Linked DNA regions of Ovis aries. The protein of the gene in region 2 purifies or fractionates together with the protein of the main gene of each other region. This does not show direct contact. Links are inferred from orthologs where the notes say so. Each region holds a gene or a part of one and is shown on either strand. Other genes may lie near its edges. The genes, in order: HDAC2, DDX17, DROSHA and DHX9.

The links.
Region 1: the proteins of DDX17 (region 2) and HDAC2 purify together in Homo sapiens (affinity purification with western blotting; 3 studies listed by BioGRID, with this or other methods). This does not show direct contact. The link is inferred for Ovis aries from reciprocal best matches to the Homo sapiens genes DDX17 and HDAC2.
Region 3: the proteins of DDX17 (region 2) and DROSHA purify together in Homo sapiens (co-immunoprecipitation; 3 studies listed by IntAct, with this or other methods). This does not show direct contact. The link is inferred for Ovis aries from reciprocal best matches to the Homo sapiens genes DDX17 and DROSHA.
Region 4: the proteins of DDX17 (region 2) and DHX9 fractionate together in Homo sapiens (co-fractionation; 3 studies listed by BioGRID and IntAct, with this or other methods). This does not show direct contact. The link is inferred for Ovis aries from reciprocal best matches to the Homo sapiens genes DDX17 and DHX9.

The regions. Positions count from the first base shown.
Region 1 is NC_056061.1:23,760,367-23,766,241, forward strand, and holds part of HDAC2 (histone deacetylase 2), read left to right. Parts: intron 1-1,518; coding exon 1,519-1,659; intron 1,660-1,886; coding exon 1,887-1,995; intron 1,996-2,662; coding exon 2,663-2,793; intron 2,794-3,509; coding exon 3,510-3,665; intron 3,666-5,875. UniProt on the Homo sapiens protein: Histone deacetylase that catalyzes the deacetylation of lysine residues on the N-terminal part of the core histones (H2A, H2B, H3 and H4).
Region 2 is NC_056056.1:216,000,697-216,006,571, reverse strand, and holds part of DDX17 (probable ATP-dependent RNA helicase DDX17), read left to right. Parts: intron 1-2,833; coding exon 2,834-2,984; intron 2,985-3,428; coding exon 3,429-3,528; intron 3,529-4,109; coding exon 4,110-4,243; intron 4,244-4,548; coding exon 4,549-4,614; intron 4,615-5,833; coding exon 5,834-5,875. UniProt on the Homo sapiens protein: As an RNA helicase, unwinds RNA and alters RNA structures through ATP binding and hydrolysis.
Region 3 is NC_056069.1:42,148,784-42,154,658, reverse strand, and holds part of DROSHA (ribonuclease 3), read right to left. Parts: intron 5,179-5,875; coding exon 5,068-5,178; intron 4,837-5,067; coding exon 4,605-4,836; intron 1,464-4,604; coding exon 1,322-1,463; intron 1-1,321. UniProt on the Homo sapiens protein: Ribonuclease III double-stranded (ds) RNA-specific endoribonuclease that is involved in the initial step of microRNA (miRNA) biogenesis.
Region 4 is NC_056065.1:63,381,775-63,387,649, forward strand, and holds part of DHX9 (ATP-dependent RNA helicase A), read left to right. Parts: intron 1-525; coding exon 526-687; intron 688-796; coding exon 797-924; intron 925-2,367; coding exon 2,368-2,597; intron 2,598-2,751; coding exon 2,752-2,867; intron 2,868-3,734; coding exon 3,735-3,935; intron 3,936-5,875. UniProt on the Homo sapiens protein: Multifunctional ATP-dependent nucleic acid helicase that unwinds DNA and RNA in a 3' to 5' direction and that plays important roles in many processes, such as DNA replication, transcriptional activation, post-transcriptional RNA regulation, mRNA translation and RNA-mediated gene silencing.

The DNA.
Region 1 (5,875 bases), on a different chromosome or scaffold from region 2:
CTTTGACTGTGTGGATCACGATAAACTGTGGAAAATTCTGAAAGAGATGGGAATACCAGACCACCTAACCTGCCTCTTGAGAAATCTGTATGCAGGTCAGGAAGCAACAGTTAGAACTGGACATGGAACAACAGACTGGTTCCAAATAGGAAAAGGAGTACGTCAAGGCTGTATATTGTCACCTTGCTTATTTAACTTCTATGCAGAGTACATCATGAGAAACGCTGGACTGGAAGAAACAAGCTGACATCAAGATTGCCCAGAGAAATATCAATCACCTCAGATATGCAGATGACACCACCCTTATGGCAGAAAGTGAAGAGGAACTAAAAGCCTCTTGATGAAAGTGAAAGAGGAGAGTGAAAAAGTTGGCTTAAAGCTCAACATTCAGAAAACGAAGATCATGGCATCTGGTCCCATCACTTCATGGGAAATAGATGTGGAAACAGTGTCAGACTTTATTTTTTGGGGCTCCAAAATCACTGCAGTTGGTGACTGCAGCCATGAAATTAAAAGATGCTTACTCCTTGGAAGAAAAGTTATGAGCAACCTAGATAGTATATTCAAAAGCAGAGACATTACTTTGCCAACTAAGGTCCGTCTAGTCAAGGCTATGGTTTTTCCAGTGGTCATGTATGGATGTGAGAGTTGGACTGTGAAGAAGGCTGAGCGCCGAAGAATTGATGCTTTTGAACTGTGGTGTTGGAGAAGCCTCTTGAGAGTCAATTGGACTGCAAGGAGATCCAACCAGTCCATTCTGAAGGAGATCAACCCTGGGATTTCTTTGGAGGGAATGATGCTGAAGCTGAAACTCCAGTACTTTGGCGACCTCATGTGAAGAGTTGACTCATTGGAAAAGACTGATGCTGGGAGGGATTACGGGCAGGAGGAGAAGGGGACGACAGCGGATGAGATGGCTGGATAGCATCACGGATTCGATGAACGTGAGTCTGAGTGAACTCCGGGAGATGATGATGGACCGGGAGGCCTGGCGTGCTGCAGTTCATGGGGTCGCAAAGAGTCGGACATGACTGAGCAACTGAACTGAACTGAACTGAACCCTGTATAGTCTTACGTAATTTTTTTGTTCATGTCTATGGAGGAAAGTGGTGACAAAACATCATTTAGATTAGGTTGTACTTAATGTTTCATTGTAACCTCACTTTTTTTTTCCCCCAAGTAACCTTATAAGAGCATAGGATCTTCATATCACATTAATAAAAATGTGTTATATTTATATGTTAATCTTAATATAGTTGTAGATTTGACTTTTCCATCAAGGACGCTTGTTAACATAGCCAGTTATGTCTACTTAATGAGTTTTGTATATTGTGTAAAAGGTGTTCGATGAAAGTTTAGACTAGAAATTTTCTTAAAATTTTTACGTATTATTTGTTTTTTAAATATTAGAAAAGCTATTTTGGTTGAGTAAAATTTTGTTTGTTATCTTTTTAAATTTTTCTTTCCCAGCTGTTACAGTGTGTAAATATATTGTTACCCAAATCTTCTTTGTCTTAGGTCATGCTAAATGTGTAGAAGTTGTAAAAACTTTCAATTTACCATTACTGATGCTTGGGGGAGGTGGATACACAATCCGCAACGTTGCTCGGTGTTGGACATATGAGACTGCAGTTGCCCTTGATTGTGAGATTCCCAATGGTAAGTGTTCTTATATGATGTCTTATTGGATGAGCTGTCAGTTTGTAGAAAAAGATGGTTACGTCATTAGAGTTGATTCCAAAACTGTGTAAATAGGAGAGCAGTCACTAAACTCATTTCATATTCACTTTTAAATATTTTCTCTGGAAATATTTTACAGCTTGAGTCTGGATTTTGTGTATGGATTGAGCTTTTAATATGTAACTTTATTTCATTATTTTTAATAGAATTGCCATATAATGATTATTTTGAGTATTTTGGACCGGACTTCAAACTGCATATTAGTCCTTCAAACATGACAAACCAGAACACTCCAGAATATATGGAAAAGATAAAGTAAGGCATCATCAAATTGATTTGATTAACATTATTAATGTGACTTTTGAAGCTTTTAGAAGGTCATGTGCAGTAGGTCAGTTTAACTTTATACGTAAGGTATTTCCTTTTGTCAAAAGTATTTGAAACCTTAAGATTGTTGGTTTCTTTAATTTTATAAAATAATGGAAAATGTATAATAGATTCATAGCTCAAAAATACTTCCATTTTCTGTTAGTTAAAATGGACTTTTTTGTTGAAAAGGGCACTATAAGTTGTATATTTTCTTGCTTTACACAAAAGTGAAATTTATTTTCATTGAAACATTTGATAAACCTTTCTCTAAGAAATAGAGTCTGGAGAGACATTGTTAGTACACAGGTCTGGGTTTGTGCCCTCTTTTACCACACACTAACTCCATGAAGTTTGGCAGGTTAATTTGCCTTTGTGCTTATATTTCCTCATCCTTGAAATGGGGGATGAAATTTAGTATCTACCTTGTAAATTTTGAGAATTAAACAGGTTACTAATAGATAAAGTATCAGTACCCAGTAAATGTTACAATTTTAATTCTTAGGTTAAACTAGGTAAAAGATGCGATTTATTTTGCTTAATGTTTCCTCTTAACATTGGAAAGGAACTTGAAAGAAAATATTTTTTTCTAATAACTGTGCATGTTGTAATTTAGACAGCGTTTATTTGAAAATTTACGCATGTTGCCTCATGCACCTGGCGTCCAGATGCAAGCTATTCCAGAAGATGCAGTTCATGAAGATAGTGGAGATGAAGATGGAGAAGATCCAGACAAGAGAATTTCTAGTAAGATAGTCCTTTGATGTGTATTCTGTTACATTTTTCAGGTTTATTAAAAGCATACTACAGACTGAAGGTTTTGGTTGCCCAAGAACTACACCTGTTTTCATGAGCACACTATTATTACTGTCTTTATTTTCACAATTTTTTTAATCCTGTGTAGATTTAACTTTCTTTGTCTCAGAGCCTGATTTGAGTGTCAGCAATTTCAGTTTCTACAAATTAACCACTTAGGTGTAGAGTAAGTTGAATAACATTAAGCACCTTCTGTTTGATTCTACAATCTAATTCCACTTAATATGATTTGTAGGCTTTTAGCCTAATAGTATGCTATTATGGTATAGACATTCTAACATAATTGACATAAATGTTATTTCTTATTTTCTTTTCTTCCCCTCTCAGCTCTGAAATGTTACTTTTTATTTAAAGATATCACTCCTACTTCGTATCAGGAAAGCAATATTTTTTTCCTCCAAAGTTTTTTTTTTTTTTTTCCAATGAGAACCTCTAATATTCTTCATATTCCTTTGAATTATTTCTTCCTAGATTAAAGCTAAAGTTTCAGTGTTTAGCAAGCCACGCTTTGTTGTAATCTTAAAATCTGTTATCCTTACTTTTAAATATGACCGGCTAGTTCTTCTATAGAGCCGTACACTTAACAGTTGTAAAACCTGTTGTAAAGCCTTTGTCTAAATTTTATTAAAAATCTTTTAATGTGTCAGTTCGAGCATCAGACAAACGAATAGCTTGTGATGAAGAGTTCTCAGATTCTGAGGACGAAGGAGAAGGCGGCCGTAGAAATGTGACTGATCATAAGAAAGGAGCAAAAAAAGCTAGAATCGAAGAAGACAAGAAGGAAACGGAGGACAAAAAAACAGGTCAGATTTATTTTTTTATAGATGTTTTAATTGTAAGTTTTTGAAAGTGAGCAACCAGGCAGTTTTTATAAGATCCTGAAATACTTACATGAGTATCAGAAATAGGTGAGTGTGCTAAATAAATAGGTGACTTTTTTTCCCCCCACGTAAGTAAACTTTTAATTAAAGCTCTCTAAATGTTATTAGTCACATTTGCTTTTACAGTACAGGAAACTATCTCTTTTTGGCAACAGAGGCTTAAAATATTGAACATTGCACTGTGATCTAGACTGAGTAAGAGAGAACAAAGTGGTTATAGACCCACATGTAGCCCATGAGCAGAGCCAAAATTCTAAGCTAATTTGTAACTACCTGTAAGTTTATTTGATGAGAATAAAGCATAAAAGAAGACTCACATTATATAACCTTAGACCAGTTTCCCCATTTTGAAAAGGCTCAGAGAACAGACTTTGTTATTATTTGAAAGAAACATAAAAGCTGTGGAAAGATGGGAAGGGATTTATCTCCCTGCTAGATTGAGCTGCTCGTGGCTAGAGAATGCAGTATCTTAAATACCTGGATTCTTGTATTTGGTGCATTTCCTGCTGGATACCTGCTACCTATATGCAGGTAACAGTGAGGAGGTTTTAGTTGACCTATTAATTTTTACCCTGTAGCATGTGGAAAACAGATTCAGAGGTACTGGGCTAACACCCTTTTTCTATCCTATTGAAGTTATGTGAGTAAGCTGGCTCTCATATTCTTTTTTTGCTAGAGAGGGTTCGGAATCTGTAGCATGTCTGCACATCTAGTTCTGTTTTGTTTGTGGATTGACTCCACTATAGGCTACTGTTCTCTGTCTATCATTTTATAATTTTAACTTCACAATGTATTACAATGATGGCTCCAGTCTGCTCTTGTGTACTGATTGACATCCAGAAATTCTAGCTATGATTGAGGTAAGAAGGACTTAAACCTTTAGCTGTAGGATTTTTCTAGTATTTTTCTTTTCTCTGTCAATTTGAGTTTTCTGTATTTTTTGTTTGTTTGTTTGTCTTCTTTTCTGGCATTTATTCTTGCTTTTTAAACGTTTATCTTTGTATGCTTTTTCTTCCAAATGGGAAAGTGGGTGTACTAGAGTACTTATCTCACATTGCTGTTTTAGCTGAAAATGAGAGTGCCTTTTGATCTGGCTTTAATGGCCTGGTGGTGGATTAATCTCACAGTATTTAGTTCCTAAATACTTCTGTTGCTGATAATAATTGATACTTAAATTTCCTAGTTTAATAATGAAATTCTTATAGTGTCTTACATTTGTTAAAATCTTGCAACATACAGATGAAAGAAATACTACCATAGAAAACAATTTTAAAAGTCTATAGTTCAGAACCTAAAGTTAGGAATATTTCTTTGCTCTTCATCCCTCCCCAAACCCCACTTGGCACTTTTGTTTACATATCTAAAATTAAGCCAGAAGCCAAAACAAATGTCATAATAAACATATTGCTTTATGTTTGTATTATAATCAGTGCCTCACAACTTTGGTTCATTGGTTTATCTAAAGAAAAAATTTAGCACATTTTGGCTAATTTGTTTCAATGATCTTGAATGGATAGTGTTACTCTTACTATTTTGTTAATTTTTATTAAAATGGTAAAGTTCTGATTCTTATATAGTGAAGGTTCAGAAACTAATGGCTATGTATATATATGGCTGAGTCCCTTCACAGTTCACCTGAAACTCACAACATTGTTAATCAGCTATACCCCAGTACAAAATAAAAAGTTTAAAAAAGAAAAGAGGGTACTAGAAAAGAAGGTACTAGCCTAACCATTATTAAAAAAAAATAAAAGACTTGGTTATATAAGCAATAGAATTTAGCTTCTGGTTTGTCTCTGACCTCATCTCATTCTGTCCCCTTGTCATAAAACTCCAGCCAAATTGGTCTTGCAGTTTTTCCTTCCAACCTAATTCCTTTTTGCCTCAAAGTCCTTTTGAGCTTTCCCTCTGTTCAAGGTACTTCTTCCCTTTTCCCACTCAAAAGCGACTTGTTCTTCAGAATGCCTCTCAGAGGCCACTTGCCATAGCCTTTCCTTATCTGCCATGGTGTCATGCACGTGTCTGTTGGCTGGACTTCTCATAGTGCCCACCCTGCCTAGAATGCTGTGATCCCGTAGGGCAAAGCTCCTAAGGGCAGGACTGTGATGTTGCAGTGATACTGAACCTCTGTC
Region 2 (5,875 bases):
TGCGGGAGACCTGGGTTCAATCCCTAGCTTGGGAAGGTCCCCTGGAGAAGGGAAAGGCTAGCACTCCAGTATTCTGGCCTGGAGAATTCCGTGGACTGTATAGTCCATGGGATTGCAGCGTGGGACACGACTGAGCGTCTTTCACTTATTAAATAAAAAGGATTATTTTGACTTACACTGTGTTCAGAAAGGAAATACTTTTAGCTTTAAATTCGGAAGACTATAAGTGGAATGTTTGCTTAGTGTTTCACAGTATAGCCAAATTTATAATGAATTTCAATACAGCCACTTAGGAAAAAGAACTTAATGTTTCCTAGTAAAATGAAAATGACCCAGAATTCCTCTCAAGCTTTATACCCTAGACTCATAGGCCTAGAAAAACCCTTGTACATGTACTTTGGTATCCATGTTTATAACAGTGTTGTTTATGACAGAATATTAGAAACAGTTCAAATGTCTGGATAAATTCGTCCCATAGAATACAGTACAGCAGTGAAAAAGAAAAATTTATATCAGCGTGTATGATTCACAAACATAATATTAAGTAAAAATACAAGGTGTCCTAGAAGGATAACGTAAGTAAACTAACAGATGACAAGACCAGAATACAAGGGAATGGCTAAAATTCGAGGTACTCATTGGTATGATGGGGATTCTAAACTTGAGATAGGCACATAGAAGCTATCAAAATACTGATAATATTATTTCTTTACCATGGATGTTTTATATTTACCATATATATGCTTTAATAAGAAAAGGTTTATTATCTGAAAGGCAGAAAAAGTGAATTGCTGATCCATACTTAGTTTATCCCATATTGACTCTTAAGTATCAGATATTAAGAAAAGACTTAAATAATGTTTCAAACAAAATGGCACTTTCGTAAAGTCTGTGCCCTAACTCCACCTTTACTATGAGATTTCTTTTGTTATTTGAATTGCTATTCTTTTGTTCTTAAATGTACAGAGCTGAAGTGGATTATTTTGAAAGGGGACTGAGTGAGGTAGTGTATATACATGTACAGTCCAAATGCATTGTACATGATTCTGCATGTTAATGTGTAAATCTTTGAAAACTGGCATTTATTGCAAATCAAAATTAATACTCAAAAACATTAAGGAGCAGCATAGTATGCAAGGGGTTAGGATATATGGATATTTAAATGATTATACAAATGCACTCAGGTTCTACAAGAGGAAAGGCTCTATTGGATATTGTAGTCAACCTTATAAAGGTGGTAGAAAGTGTATTTTTTTAAGAATCCCATGTTTCAAATTACAATATATCTTTAGAGAAGGATGATATGTCTTGGTTAAATAGCCAAGGCAATAGGGGAAAAGGAAAAACTTTGAAAAATAAGGGCTATCTTGATTAAGTCTTGGACATTTTTTTCAAAAGTTCTGTTTTCTTCTAGGTTGTTAATTTTAAGTTCTGAGTAATATTGGAGTGCAGCAGCAGCATTGAAATGGCATTTTTTAGGAACCACGTATGTTGTTGTTCAGTCACTAAATTGTGTCCAACTCTTTGCAACCTTGTGGGCTGCAGCACACCAGGCTTCCCTGTCCTCACTATCTCCCAGAGTTTGCTCAAATTCGTGTCCTTTGAATCAGTGGTGCTATCCGACCATCTCATCCTCTCTCTCCCCTGTCTGCTGCCTTGGATCTTTCCCAGCATTAGGGTCTTCTCTGAAGAACCACATAATTAGGCAGCCAACCTCTGAAAGTTAGTCTTTGGTCATTTTTCTTTGCAAGACTGACAGTTTAAAGACTTGGCTTTTTTATTTGTAGAGAACCTTATTTATTGATAGAACTGTGTTAGTTACTTCACCTAAGAGGGAGGGAGGAGGGGTCAGTCTCCTATTTGGTCTTAAGCCTAAGGACGTATTGAAGGTGTTGATTGGTATTGATCAACAGTAATATAAATAGAATCTGCCAAGTTCTGTCTTTTTGAATGTAAATACGTAATGGTCCCAAATTTCCTGCCATCAGTTTTTGTATATTTGTATTTAGAGAAATATCTAGCTGGCTCTTTAAGCCGAGAAATTTTAAGAGCATTTTGAGTTCCAGGAAATTGATGTGCTTTAGAATGGTTAGTACATCTGCTGCCTGTTGAGTAGTAAACTAGTGGAACCACTTGTAAGATGATGTTATGAATGAATTAGAGTAGAAAAGGAGAATTAAATTTGGTGTAGTGGTTAAGGAAATGGGATGAAAACATTGTGTATTTGTACACCAAAACAATGTCCTGCATTTTTAATAGGTTGAAATACAGAAATGAAGACCATCTTAGGATTCTTCTTAGGAAACAGAACATTTCAAGTTTGGCTAATGGCCATATTTGTACTCCAGTTGAATTTGTTTGTTGTGAAAGCAAGATAAAGCGAAAAGAATGATTTTTAAATTGTTTTAAAGACCTTAGATAACTTTTTCTACCTGTCCATAGTTTTGCCCTAATTTAAACTTAATGTCCTCACTTAGCTTCATTTCAGAATATTACATAAGAGTAGCAATTTCTGTTCACGTTAGTATTTCTGCTGCTGCGTCGCTTCAATCGTGTCCAACTCTGTACAACCCCATGGATGGCAGCCCACCAGGCTCCCGCGTATTTCTAGCACCACTTTATAGTTGATACCCAGTAACTATTTGTTGAATGAATACAATTATGTCAATTTGTACTGTTTACTATGGCAGATACTATTTTAAGTACTTTACACAAATATTTTTTGGAGGGGGCTGGTAGTATCTTAAGAGTTGTATCTTTTTGCATGTTTTTATGGCACCTGAAATATTTTGCTTTAAAAATACTAATAAACTGAAAATTTTGATGTTTCTAGATTTGGAGCAAGAGGTGGTGGTGGCCTTCCCCCAAAGAAATTTGGTAATCCTGGGGAGCGTCTACGTAAAAAGAAGTGGGATTTGAGTGAGCTCCCCAAGTTTGAGAAGAATTTTTATGTCGAACATCCAGAAGTGGCAAGACTGACTCCAGTAAGTTTTAGGGGCGGTATTTATTTACCTTTTCTTGACGTACAGTAATGAACCAAGTAGATAAATTAGCCAAAGTTTACTCATACATATATATATATATATATACACAAAGTTTACTCTTGTATTTTTTATTCTGGTGTGGTGGGGATTTTTCTTTGGTTCTTGTTAGGAAAGCTGATACTTGTAAGAGAAAGCACTTGATTCTCATACGTTGGTTATATTTCATTTAACTGTTCTCATGTGGAAAATGAAACCTACTGCATGCTTCGTTGACTTAGAAAGTTGGGTGAAGTTGAACATACATGAAAAACACTGTAAGAAGTGTTAAACATATTTTCCATTGTAATTGTGAATTTGATCCTTGTTATGCTATATTGGAACATAAAGTTTTGCACGTTTAGAATAAATTGGTTACTGATTTGTCTTACTTTGTTTCTTAAATAGTATGAGGTTGATGAATTACGCCGAAAGAAAGAGATTACAGTGAGAGGGGGAGATGTTTGTCCTAAACCTGTGTTTGCCTTCCATCATGCTAACTTCCCACGTAAGTGCTTTTCAGTCCAGTATATTAATTGTTAATTTAGCTTGAATGGTCACTGTGCTCATAAGTTATTTAAAGGTTTTGACCCAGCTCAGGATTTTGTTGAAAAGACAAACAGAAACCTTTCACAAAAGTTCTTCAAGTATTTTGGCAGGGGGAGTTGTCTTTTTAATGCTCATGTGTTCTCAGTTTAGAACTTCTTTGGGTCTTTTGCAGGGTTTTTTGTTTGATTGGTTGGTTGGTTTTCATCTTTCCTTGGGGTTTTGCCTCTACATTTCAGAAAAATAGCAAAATAAAATTGCTTTCTACCTGGATAAAATTTGGATTAGATAAGCAGTAGGTGGCTATTAGGTGCCCATGCCTTGTACCTTAGATACTTTAGACCAATGGTTTTCAAGTTTTCGAGAATAAGGGTAGATGGCTATGGCAGTAGCCTTCTTGAGAAGTAGTCAGCAGGTCAAATAACTGAATTTCAGTAACTGAAGACAAAACTACTGCTTCTCTTGGAGAGATGTATAATTTGTTTTGGCTGTAGGTTCGCTTCTTAGTTTTACCTAAAAGCAATAATATCTGTTCTTGTACAGAATACGTAATGGATGTGTTGATGGATCAGCACTTTACAGAACCAACTCCAATTCAGTGCCAGGGATTTCCCTTGGCTCTTAGTGGCCGAGATATGGTGGGCATTGCTCAGACTGGCTCTGGGAAGACGTTGGCGGTATGTACCCACAAGGGAAGACTTTTCATATTGTGGTAACTTATTTTGCTGTTGTATATTAACATATATTCTCAGTGCATAAAATTCTAATTCAAATAGTGGAAGTAATATTTCAGCTTTTTAGCTATCTGAAATATGTGGAAGCATTTTATGTTCATATTTGCGTTGCATATATATGTAAGAGATGTGAATTCTGTTTTCCCTTTCCTGGTTTTACTTAGACATTATCAATTACTGTGATAACTTAGAACAGTTAATATAATGGCTTAGTTTTGGTATAAGACTGTCCTTCTTTTCTCCTCCAGTATTTGCTACCTGCAATTGTTCATATTAACCACCAGCCTTATTTGGAAAGAGGAGATGGCCCAATTGTAAGTGTATTTCAGTTTGTGTATACTTCGAAAAATAACTACAGTTTATTATTATGTTTCAGGCACTGTACTTTACATGTGTTCTCAGATTTCATTCGCAACCCCACCTTCCATATCTGGAGGAAATACTGTCTTACTGGTAAATCTTAGGCACAGTGACTTGCCCAGGGTCAGACAGTAATTAAATTGCTGAGCTGGAATTTGAATCAGTCTTCCTTTTAACTACTGTGCCTGTTACCTTCATATGTAGGCATTTAATACAGATGCATTGCTTAATTGCCCATTGATACTATGAGGGATACAAAGGTGTAAAATGAGATTCTTGCTCTGTGGATATAAGTCAGGTTTGGGATGTTTATTTTTTGTGTTTAAGTAATGCTTTTGTAAATGTTCATAGACGAGCACCATTTTCTGGTTTGATCATTTTCAGTTAATGCTATTTACTGTAAGATTTCAGTAGTGGTCTTCAAACATTTTGAATGTACTTTCTTAACATTTTTTTAATAGAGCTTGCACTCACTATATGTTTATAAATATGTACATTATACAGTATGTCTTAATGCTTCACAACAAGAAGTAGTGCATTTATTTTTTTTAATGTATTTCATATGGCTAACGGAGTTAGCAATATTATCATTAACTAATGTCTAATGGATTGATATACCAAGTGAGTTATTGTTACCAGCATATATGATTCCTGTTTCAAAGTGTCTAAATTTTATTTGACCAACTTCTTGTCACATTGTGTATAAATGTGTTTTTGCCAGATTTGCCTGGCCAAGAGCTTGAGCTAGATGTCAGAAAAATGTCAGCTCTGCTCTTTTCTTGTTCTGATAATTAAGTAAAGTTTGAGACTTACCTGGTTTTGTTACAGGAATATTGTAGCTACTTACTCATTTTGTGAGTTGTTTAGTTAAAACTAGGTAATACAGTCTATAAATCTTATGTAGCACACGTTAATGAATCGTATCCAAAGTCAGCCATCATACTACATGGCAAATATTAGTTCTCAAATTGGATTGACCAAAAGATTCATTCAGGTTTTTCTGTAAGATGTTAGGGATATAATTTTTAGCCACATTACAGTGCAATATCTTACACCTATTGCCTTCCCAGTCCCCTACCCCAGATTAGACAATAGAGAATTAAGTAACCTTTTTGTACTTTTTTTGTTCCCCTTAAACTTGGGGTGGTGTCTCAAATGATTTGTTTGCTTTAGTGTCTAGTTCTGGCTCCTACCAGAGAGCTTGCCCAGCAAGTA
Region 3 (5,875 bases), on a different chromosome or scaffold from region 2:
GGGATAAAAGGTCATGAATGCCAGGCTCTGAAGATCAGACTGAATCAGATTCTTTTTTTTTTTTTCTCTCAATAGTAATAATAAGAGACTCTAGTCCTTCAAAACAACTAGATAAAAACAGACCAAGAATTACTGTAACGAAACGATCCAGTCACAAAAGACAAATATGGTGTGCCTCTACTTATATGAGGTACCTAGAGCAGTCAGATTCATAGAGACAGAAAGTAGAAGGGTGGCTGCCAGAGGCAAAGACAGACAGGAGAGGGGAGCTGGCCTTTAATCTGGACAGAGTTTCCAGTTTAGCAAGAAGAACAGAGTTCCAAAGGTTGTTTATACAATATGAATGCATGTAACACACTACAGAGCCACGCATTCAAAAATGGCTAAGTAGTATATCTTATGTGTATTATGCACACGTTATTTGTATTCTACTACAATCAAAAAAGAAAAAAAAAAAGACCTAGAACTTGGAGTGATCCTACGAGAGATTAATGCAGTACAGCGTGGTAAGAAGGAGCCCTTACACTGTTGCATTTTCAAGTGTACTACGTGAGATGGGTCCTGTCATTCCTCTTTTAAGGCAAGAAAATTGAGACACAGAGAAATCACATCACTTGCCCGAGATCACATTTCAAGTGGAACAAGGATTCAAACCCAGGCCAGCTGGTTCTGTTGTGCTTTTCCCCACCATGGACACTGCCTCTCAGCGAGGGAAACATAACAAAGGTGGGCAGATGAGAGGCAGATAACATGCAGGAAAAGGCACACCGAACGTCTCCTCTGCGTACAGCGTGTGTTAGGGGTAAGGACACAACGTGGTGAGAAGCACTGATCTCAGCACCTCCTTGGAGTCTCAGAATACGTATGTGAAAAGATGTAAGAAAGTGATGGAAGCTTTGTGAATAGAGAGAGAGCTTCAAACAGAGCTGGACTCTGGCTGGAGTTTCCACACCCTGGCAGTGGAGAGAGCCACAGGAAATGCCTGCCCATTAGATCACGAGGCATGGGAACAGGCTCCTGCTTTTGACAGGAGGCTGGACTGTGGTCCCTTCTGATTTTAGGACAGGAGTCTATGGGGACACAGTGGCCAGCATGCCTTGCAAATGAGAGATCTCTTATGTATTCTACTGAATATAACTAAGGGAAAAGAAAATCGAAAAGAAGAAAGTTACATTGCTATGTATTTGCTGACTGGAATTAAGGAAAATAAAATGGACATTAGGAAATTTTACTATGGGACTCTCAAGGACACATTCCAAAAGTCTGGTATTAAACAATAAAAAAAGAGCACAGGATCTCAGTCTAGTAACTTCTGACTCACCTAAATCTTCATCTAGCTTCGTCTTGGGAGGCTCCCATGGCGGTCTAGCAGCTTTGGCCTTCTCTTGCCTGCTCCCCAACTCTTCCTCAAATTTGTCATATAAGTCACGGAGCCTACTTGTTCCAACTACAGTAGAATCTCCCTTTGAAAAATAAAGGATCAATATTAGGAACTATATTAATAATAGTCATACCAGAGAGACTTAAGAACTCACCGATAACCAAAGATTTTAACAGCAAGATATCATTTTTCAACCCTCAATTTAACAAACATTTTAAACACAAAATGCCCAAAGTGCTGGCAATGATGCTCTGAATTGCACACACATTTATGGCTGACACAGTCCTCAGGTAAATGCACTTTGCCAACCCTTAGAAACGTTAGAAATCTTCATCTATGCCCTTTTGATACAACAACCAAAAAATCATAAATCCCTCAGAATTCATGACACCTGATACCCTCTTAGAGAACATATACCCCTCGCCTACTGAAATTTACTGATGGTGTGTATTCCACATTAACCCAGTGACCCACAAACCACACACGCACCCCATAAACACAGGGACACACACACACACACTCTTTACAAACACAGGGTTCTGCAATACATTCCTGGAGGAAGTTCCTCACTTTCCCTTACTCTCCTCCCAGGTTGAAAATCACTTTAAACACCCACCTGAAATGTACATTTGACATTTTCAAAAGGCACCTTTCCAACATAAAATGAATATTCAATCATGAAATCTGTAGTTATTCCCAAAAGAGGGTGTCTGCTTTCCTTAGCCCCACCTCATTACTGATACTGGTGATGCCGGGGTGGCTCTGACACTTAGGCCCTCTCTGCACCAGCAGTGCCCAAACAGAAGCCAGTGTTGGCCTTCTGGTTTATCAGCCTGCCTTAGACACTGGAGTTTTAACACACCCACAAGAAAGGTGAGGAAGAGCAAACGCTCTGCCCTTTAAATGCTCTGAGCCTCAGTGCCTTCAACAGTATTTCAATAATAATGATACCCCTGGGGAGCCATTCTCCCCTTCCCCCATGCTCACAGAACTGGGATTCCCTTCAGGTTTGGGGCAGGGAACTTGGCCACTGATGTCTCTATCCTAATCCCTGGAAAGTGAACATGCCACCTTTCAGTGCAGAAAGAACTCTGCAGACGCGATTAAGGCTACAGAATTTGAGGTGGGATTATCTGGGTAGACCCAACTGAATGTGAGTCTTTAAAAGTGGAGAGGCTCTCACAACAGCAGTCCGAGGTGCGACAGAAGAAGAGGCAAGAGATCTTTAAAGCATAAGAGGGACTCGACCCACGCTGCTGGCTCTGAAGATGAAGGAAGGGGTCCATGGGCCAAGGAATGCAGACGGGCTCCAGAAGCTGGGAACAGCCTGCCAGACAGCAAGCAGACAAGGGCCTCCATCCCACAGCCGTAAGGAACTGAACTCTGCCAACAACCTGAATGAGCAAGAAAACAGGTTGTCTCCAGAAAGGAGAGCAGTCCTGCCAGTACCTCGATTTAGCCAGTGAGAACCAAGTTTGACTTCCGATCTACAGAACTGTGAGCTAATAAATGTGCGGTATCTTAAGCCATGAATGAAGTCTGTGGAGATGGGTTATGGCAGAGATGGAAAATTAATCCATTAAACACAATTCTGGGTGAAAGGATGGAAGAAGAGATCCCCGGGCACCCTGGGCTCCACCCAGTACTGCCCTCTGCATCTGTGTCTGGGCAGAGGTATGTACGGACACGATGCCTGGGGCTCCCGTGGGCAACCTACAACAGTGGTGGATCCTCCGGAAGACAGTAATACCCACCTACGGCCCTGCCATCACTAAGGCACTAAATACATACCAGCCACCACCTCCCTCCAGATGGCTTGTCAAGGAAAACAAACCCAGCAAGCTTAACCACGATCAGTTAAGTATTCTCATTTACAACAACATTCTGAAGTAACAGATGCCTTCTTTCCAGGGATGTTTTAAGAATTCAGGGAGGTAATCTGAGACACGTGGAGCAGTTTCACCAACACGGCTCCAGGTACGAGCTTCTCCTTGCCTATGTCACCTGAACTATGACTTAAGACCCTGCTTTTCTTTATCAAGTAAAATATCATGCCAACAAGAGAGACCTCTCAAACCTTTTTGCCAGAGACGACAGTCTCCTCTCAAGCTCAACATAGGTAAGGGCCCAGTCCAAGTTGAAGCTGTTTTTACAAAATTCCAAACAACAGAATGCTCTCTTATCTACCCCACCCACTAAATCTAAAATCTCCAGGCTCTTCTGTCCTAAATCTGTACGTATCCCTTCCTTCACTCATTGATTTCATCAGTGAACATGACTGTGTGTCCCTGCTATGGCAAATACACCTAACTTAATGGGGATGGAGGCATAGTGCCTGTTAGGGGAGAGAGAGAGGAAAAAAAAAAAAAAAAAAGGCGGGGGGAGAGTGATGGAAAATAAAATGGAGATGGAAGAAAGAGGAGAAGCGAGCACACAGAGGTCATGGGGCCCCCAAGGCAACAAGGCACGGCTGCTGAGCCCCAGAAGCCCCATTGTGAGCAGCACATGTGCTGACTCTCCTGAGAACCCATCCAAGGTGACGACACTGCGACTCCACAAAACCAGCAACCAGCACGGGAAATCTGCTATGGGTACCTTTGGTCACGGGCAGACTTGCAAGAGACAAACTCAATTTTCCCTTGTTTCTCATTTTGAGGGAAACACACACACACACACATACAGATACAGAAGGCATAACATAGCTATGAGTGAGAGCTTACAAGACCACCAGCATCAAGACTAGCAGTGGCGTCAAAAATCAGAATGAAGAGATCCTTTCATACACCTACGGCACTCTTGCCTTTTGGAAAGCAGCTTTTGTCTACAGCAGTGGTTCTCAACCAGGGGGAGGGGCGTTCTCTCACTCCCCAGGGGACACTGGGCAACGTCAGAAGACAGCCTCGGTTATCACAGTCACGAGGGTGCTACTGGCATCCAGTGCACAGAACCCAGAGATGCTGCTCGACATCCAACCATGCACCGGGCAGGCCCCACCACAGGGAACTATCCAGCCCAAGACGCCAACAGCGCCGAGCTTGAGGAGCTCTGCTGCTGCCGCTGCTAAGGCGCTTCAGTCGTGTCCGACTCTGTGCGACCCCAAAGACGGCAGCCCACCAGGCTCGGCCATCCCTGGGATTCTCCAGGCAAAAACACTGGAGTGGGGTGCCACTGCCTCCTCCATGAGGAGCTCTAGTCCACAGCTTCTCTCCTACCACAGACCTACCACCTGGTCCATGGGGTCACTGGAGTAGTAATTTTCTGAGTGGGTGCAGCGAATCCACACGGGCTTAAGGAGTTCTTCCTCCTCCTCCTCGTTTTTGTCAGGCAGCGCCTCCTCGGGCTCCTTTTCCTTGATGGAGGTATAATTCTTCTCTTTGCCAGAGCCCTGGATGTCACTCCACCTGTCTTTTTCTTCCTCCCAGCGAGCTCTCTTCTTCTCCCTGCTTGGGGAGCGACTTCAAAAGGGGGCAAAGGGAGGCTATTAAAAATGTTCTTTTCTTGTAAAACTTTTCTATTTCACCTGTTTAGCTCATTTGTCACCTAAAAGGAAAATGTCATGCCAAACCAATATATTCATTTGCATGAAAAACCAGTGACCCCCTGACACCGGTCTGCTGACATCAGAATCACCTGAAGTTATTTGTTTAAAAATACAAATTCCCAGGCCCTACCCCAGATCTACTTACTGATTCACAGTCTCCAGGGGTGGGGCCCAAGATTCTGTATTTTTATTAATCTCCCCAGGTGATTCTGGTGTGCATACGGCAGGTTCAGGAGCAACTGGCCAACCATAACTCCTAGAATAGAAAGATCTCTGGGAAATATATGGACATCTCCATCTATAGACGATCTCAGCATTGAGCACACTAATTCTGAATTCTCCACATCTCACTTTGCCAAGAGAAAAAAAAAAAGTCTTCACAAAACATGATCTCCACTTAGCCATAAATTTAGCCTGAGGACCAAAATCCTAGAGTGAACCAGTTATACCATCCCTCACCATTTCTCTGGAAGCCCCTACTTGGGTATTACTGCTTAATGAACCACCAAGTCACCTAATTCTGATCCCCACAATTACTAATAGTAACTCAATTAAAAAGGAAAAAAGCAATTCTATCTCCTTGAATCGCTGGAGCATGAAATTTGCAAAGGCTCAGCGTATCGATGTGCTTGGAGGGAAAAACCCATAGGATAGATTTTTAAATTAAGCCCAGAACATTTCAGTGGAACCGTACAGACTTGGAGAATCCAGCCAAGGAGACAGACTGTGATGTGGTGCCAGCTCGGCAGCTCTACTAACAAAGTCACTCTTACCCAAGAAAGTCTACATCTGGGTCAAAGTCACAAGTAAGCTTCTCCATCAACTCTATCACTCATTTCTAATTTTACAGCAGGGAAAATCTAAGTATAGGTGTGTATACAACAGGGGGAAAACAGTGAGTGATTAGGAGTATATATATTACTTATTGATGCAACTTCTAAATATTACAGTGT
Region 4 (5,875 bases), on a different chromosome or scaffold from region 2:
CCCTCCCAGTAGAAACAGGATGGGCCCACATAGAATAAAAAGCTTAAATATTCCTCAGTAGAGAAGTGGCATGCTTGAGATACTGAGCAAAGTGTGAAATGAGAAGAAACTGTTGTAGTAGATGGATACCTGGGCCTAACTTGTTGAGACGAAGAGCACAGATTTATCAAGAGAAGTGCATTTCCTTTAGGAGGTTAAGCAGCTATCCAAGAAAGAGAAAGGTTAGGAAAACAGGTATATTTTGTTCACAAATTTTGAAGATGAAGAGATTTAGTAAAATGAGGGAGAATGGGAAAGGAAAATATAATACTTGGTCAATTTATGGTAAATAAGCATCCATTAACATCAAAGCTCATTTTGTTTTTTTCTTTTTGCATCTGGAGAGCAGCTGTAAAATTATTTGTTAAACCAATTTCAGTACTAAAAAGGCCATATGATAGCTAATACCCTGACCCACAATTGACTGTACTGCCGAGTTGCTGGAACAAGAATGTGGTTTGGACCGAGTTTTCCCGTCTCTTTCAGTGTGGGAGACGCTATTTGCACCATCTCTGCGGCCACCTGCTTTCCAGAGCCTTTCATCAGTGAAGGGAAGCGACTGGGTTATATCCATCGAAATTTTGCTGGAAACCGATTTTCTGATCATGTGGCCCTTTTATCAGTATTCCAGGCTTGGGATGATGCTAGGTATGGGCTTGAAAGACAAAGATTTGTAAGATTTGAATGAACTGTCTAGTTTGTAGTCTGTGTCTAGTTCTTTAGGCTTTGAGCATAACTTCTTAACCTGTTTGTTTAGAATGGGTGGAGAAGAAGCCGAGATACGTTTTTGTGAGCACAAAAGACTCAATATGGCAACACTAAGAATGACCTGGGAAGCCAAAGTTCAGCTCAAAGAGATTCTCATTAATTCTGGATTTCCAGAAGGTAAGATTCTCATATCTAAAGTACCTTAATATTAAACATTCACATTGACAGTCCCAGTATATTTTAGCTTTAAACATAAGGCTTTTGTTTTTTTTGTATTCCTAGCTATTTCTTAGTTTTTTGAACTCTGGTGATAATCAGTTTTTCACATTAATTGAATTTTTTTTAAGGATGCAAAAGGTTATAATGTTCAAATTACAGTTTTGTACACAGATGATGAATAGATGTTTTGAGAGTTGTGCTGCTTTAGGAGGTTTTGTTTTTATTGGATTGTAGTTGATTTACAGTGTTGTGTTAGGCTCTGCTGTACAGCAAAATGAGTCAGTTACACATCACTGTCTTTTTTTAGGTGGAAGGGTGTGTTTTTATTTCTGATCCATTTACTTTGTAAAAAAACAGGCCTAGCTTTTTGCACTTCTAGAATGAGCAGTTTGTTGAATTTACTTCAGGTAGTGGTTTCTGAAGTGATGTGTTAATTTGCTGATCTGTTCATTCTTAGGTGTGAAGTAAACTCTATTGCATTAAATTTTAATTGGCTTTGAGTAAGTTTTAATGGATAGCTAATCATAGAGGACTTTGATATCTGATATAGGAATAGTAATCCAACTGTTCATTTCTTGTGTGAATTTGAACAATTGTACTTCTCCAGCTAGATTGAGACAGAGTTAATTTTCTGAAATATTGAGAGTTGGAACACATAACCAGAAATAGCTAGTTGAGAGAGAGAAGGACTACCTTCTGGGCCATATCTAAATAACTAAACATTTTTCTTCTGTTGTAAACTGACTAAATTTGTACTTTCAAAAATCAAAGGAAAATAGGACATTTTTGTATGATAGACTCTTTACAAAATTCCTGAGATGCAGATATGACCTCCATTTTACAGGTTAGGCAGCTGGCCAGAGGTTTAAATTACTTGTCCACATTCATTCAGTTCAGAAGTTTATAAGACTGGTATACAGGCTTTTTGGAACAAAGTTTATCCACACTCTTACCATCATATTTTCCATGTGATGGCCTGGGCACAAAGCATTTTTTGGGTGAAAACAGCAGCGTTTTTCTAGTGTGTTCCTCTTGGTCATCTTCTGTAGAAGGAACAGCTTTTTAAGAGCAGCAGGTGAAATACTGGTCATACCGGTCTAGCTCTAATCTGAGAGGAGATGGTTAATTGGGGCATTTGTTTTTAAGTACTTCAAGCTTAGTTGTGTCTACAAAAGAAAACAGATGTTTTAATTTTACTAAAATTGTGAAGACTCAGCAAAATTTCTCCTTGCATTAATCTGAGTGCGAGAATGCTAAGAACAGAGGCAGTGAGATGGGTTATTTGAAAAAGAGAATGAGGGAGGAGTTAATTCTTATAATTGTCATTTAATTTTGGTAAATTCAATGTTAGAATTAGCCAGATACTTGATTTTTTTTTTTTACTCTCCTTCCTCTTTACAGAGTGTTTACTGACACAAGTGTTTACTAACACTGGACCAGACAATAATCTGGATGTTGTTATCTCTCTCCTGGCCTTTGGTGTGTACCCCAATGTGTGTTACCATAAGGAAAAGAGAAAGATTCTCACCACTGAAGGGCGTAATGCACTTATCCACAAGTCATCTGTTAATTGTCCTTTTAGCAGCCAAGACATGAAGTACCCATCTCCCTTCTTTGTATTTGGTGAAAAGGTAAGAAAAGGGAGGTTTAGAAAACTTCTACATTTAAAATCCAGATTACTTTATTAATGTGTAGTGGGGACATGGGTTTTAGTTCATTATTATTATATGGTAGTTGATTGACAGTTGGAATGTCAACTTTTTCCTCTTGCCTCTTTATCTTCAGATTCGAACTCGGGCCATCTCTGCTAAAGGCATGACCTTAGTCACCCCCTTGCAGCTGCTGCTTTTTGCCTCCAAGAAAGTTATGTCTGATGGACAGCTTGTGGTTGTAGACGACTGGTATGGATTTTCAGATGTGAACTCACCTGAATTCTTAGAATTGAAATGTACTGGAATTCAGCTGCTAATCTATTTGTGAAATATGGCAGAATTCGATGGCATAAACAATGTGTTGTGTAACACTGTCTTTTCTTAGAGGAGTATATCCTAGGCTTACGATTTGTAGCTGATAGTGAAGTCTCAAATTGATTATACTTGTAGAGGCAGATGCAGTAAATCAGGGGTGCCCACCCTCTGGGGTCTAAGGCCTGATGACCTGAGGCGGAGCTGATGTGGTAGTAATAGAAATTCAGTGCACAGTAAATGTAATGCACTTGAATCATCCCAAACCATCCCCACCACCACCCCAGTCTGGAAGAAGTTTCTTCCACAAAAATCGATTCCTGGTGCCAAAAAGGTTGGGGGCTGCTGCATTACTCATTGGAGCCCCATCCACCACCGTGAATACCATACTGAGGAGTTAAAATCTAATTGGAATTTGGATGCCTCTTTTTTTATGTACACTCCATATTGCTTAGAGACAAGTGGTGTCTGTGTAGTAAGCACTTGGCAGAATTGGACAGAACTTAATGGTTAGTAGTCTCTCATTTCATTCTTTTATTGGAGGCTGAAGTGATCTGTATGGCTAAGCGTACTTCACTTGGTAGACTTCATGGTTCACAACTCCTGCCAGTAGCTAGCAGTGAAGTTTAAGAAGTTGGTTTAACTTATTGTTACTCTTCATACCTGTGTTTGCTAAATCTAGGGCCATTACATTTGGAAAAGAAGTTAAATTTATCCCATCACTTGCCATGGGTGAAATTGGGAGATAATAGTCTTTTTCTGTGTGTACCTCCTCTCATTTTTAATCATTTTTCCCTAATTTAGGATAAGATTGCAAATATCTCATGAAGCTGCTGCCTGTATCACTGCTCTTCGAGCAGCCATGGAGGCTCTGGTTGTTGAAGTAACCAAACAGCCTGGTATCATCAGCCAGTTGGATCCTGTTAATGAACGTATGCTGAACACAATCCGCCAGATCTCTCGGCCCTCAGCTGCTGGTATCAACCTTATGATTGGCACTACACGGTGGGTACCACAGTAACTTTCTTTGAACTAAGCAGAAGAGACAGTAATCTTACTCTACATTTAGTTTATGGAGGCCTTGTTATTTAAGTTAAAATTATATACACATTCTAAATGAAGTTTAGTTCTGGTTAACACATTCAGAGAAAGAGTGTTAATGATATGTTACACCAGTGCATGCTAAAGATAGAGACCTTGGAAGTACATATGGAGTCCAGGATAGGTCCCATGACAGGAAAAAAAGCGACAGGCCCAACTGCTTTGCCATCTCTACAGGAAAAATGATGAGGGCTTAAATTGCTGCTGCTTCGAATGAAAAGCGTCAGAGTTTAATCTTTAAAGTGTTCTAATTGCCTCATTTTTTTTCACCTTTAAAAATTTTCTTTGCCCACTGCCTTTTACTCTCAAAATTTTTGATACCTGTAGAAAAGGCAGAACAGTAGTACAGTGAACTCTGTTAACTTAGGTTTCAATGATTGTCAGCATTTTGTGACACTTGCTTTGATACATATATATATTACACACATACTTTTGTTGAATCATTTGTGATTCAGTTGCAGGTGTTATGACATTTTACATTAGTATGCTTCATGTATCTTTTAAGAACATAGCTATAAGTCACACACAAAAATGTGTTAAAATAATAGTATCTAATATACAGTCATTAAAATTTGTCATTCAAAAATATTTTTCAATCTCCCCATCAAAAATCACTTAACTGCATTTGGTTTTAAAGTGTTAACTTACTATACAGAAATGCTGTGTGCTTTATGGATTCTGGCATTCCATTTTGGTTATAACTGAGTTAACTTTTCCTTTGAATTAATCAAACATAGTACTTAGCTGTGGCACACTGTGCTAAGTGCTTTTCTGATATTCGCTTGCTTTAATACTTGATCCACCTGTGATGTAGGTAGATCATTATCCCTTTTAATATAAATGAATAAACTAAGCACAGGGAAGTTAAAACCCAAGATCTTCCAGCTAGTGAATGGTAGAGTTGAATTCTCAAGCAGACAGGATGGCTCCTGAAATGGTGCTCTCATGACTGTGGTCTGCCCACAAGGTCAGTTGTATAGAACAATTGAGAAAGAATCTTCAGAAAGAAAGATGGAAAATACGTGTCCCAGGCATGGTATAAATGCAGTACTCATAGATGTTTAGGAGATAAAACTTCTGTCAGGAAGGGGTGGTGATCAAGAAGGCTTCGCATACAAGCTGCTCTGTGAAGGACAAAACTAGTAAGGATGGGATAGAAATAAGAGGTTAGGTTGTGTGAATAAAATGGTGGTCTGAATTAGAGTCAGGGGAATTGAAATGAAAAGTAACTAGATTAGAAAGATTTGCAATAGAGTCAGTAAGTATTGGTTATGGGTTAAAATGGGGAGAGCAGTGTAGTGAGGGAATGAAGACAGATCCTACCATGTTTCTGGCTTGGACAGCAGCTGAATTGGTAATGCTAGTCTCTAAGAAGGAGAAGGCAATGGCACCCCACTCCAGTACTCTTGCCTGAAAAATGCCATGAACGGAGGAGCCTGGTAGGCTGTGGTCCATGAGGTCACTAAGAGTTGGACACATTGAGCGACTTCACTTTCACTTTTCATTTTCATGCATTGGAGAAGGAAATGGCAACCCACTCCAGTGGTCTTGCCTGGAGAATCCCGGGGACAGGGTGCCTGGTGGGAGGCCATCTGTGGGGTCCACACAGAGTCGGACACGACTGAAGCGACTTAGCAGCAGCAGTGTCTAAGAAAAGCTTCACAGGAGGAATGAGCAGATTGGGGTATGTTAAATTGACATTTTGGTGAGACATCTTGATTTTCTGCAGCTTTTCATTACCCTCCTTTCTTTGCCATATGAAGCTGATTTAGATGTAAGTAAATTACTAAAAGGCATTTTACAAAAACATTTTTCAGAGTTGATACAGGAAAATATTTTGTGGT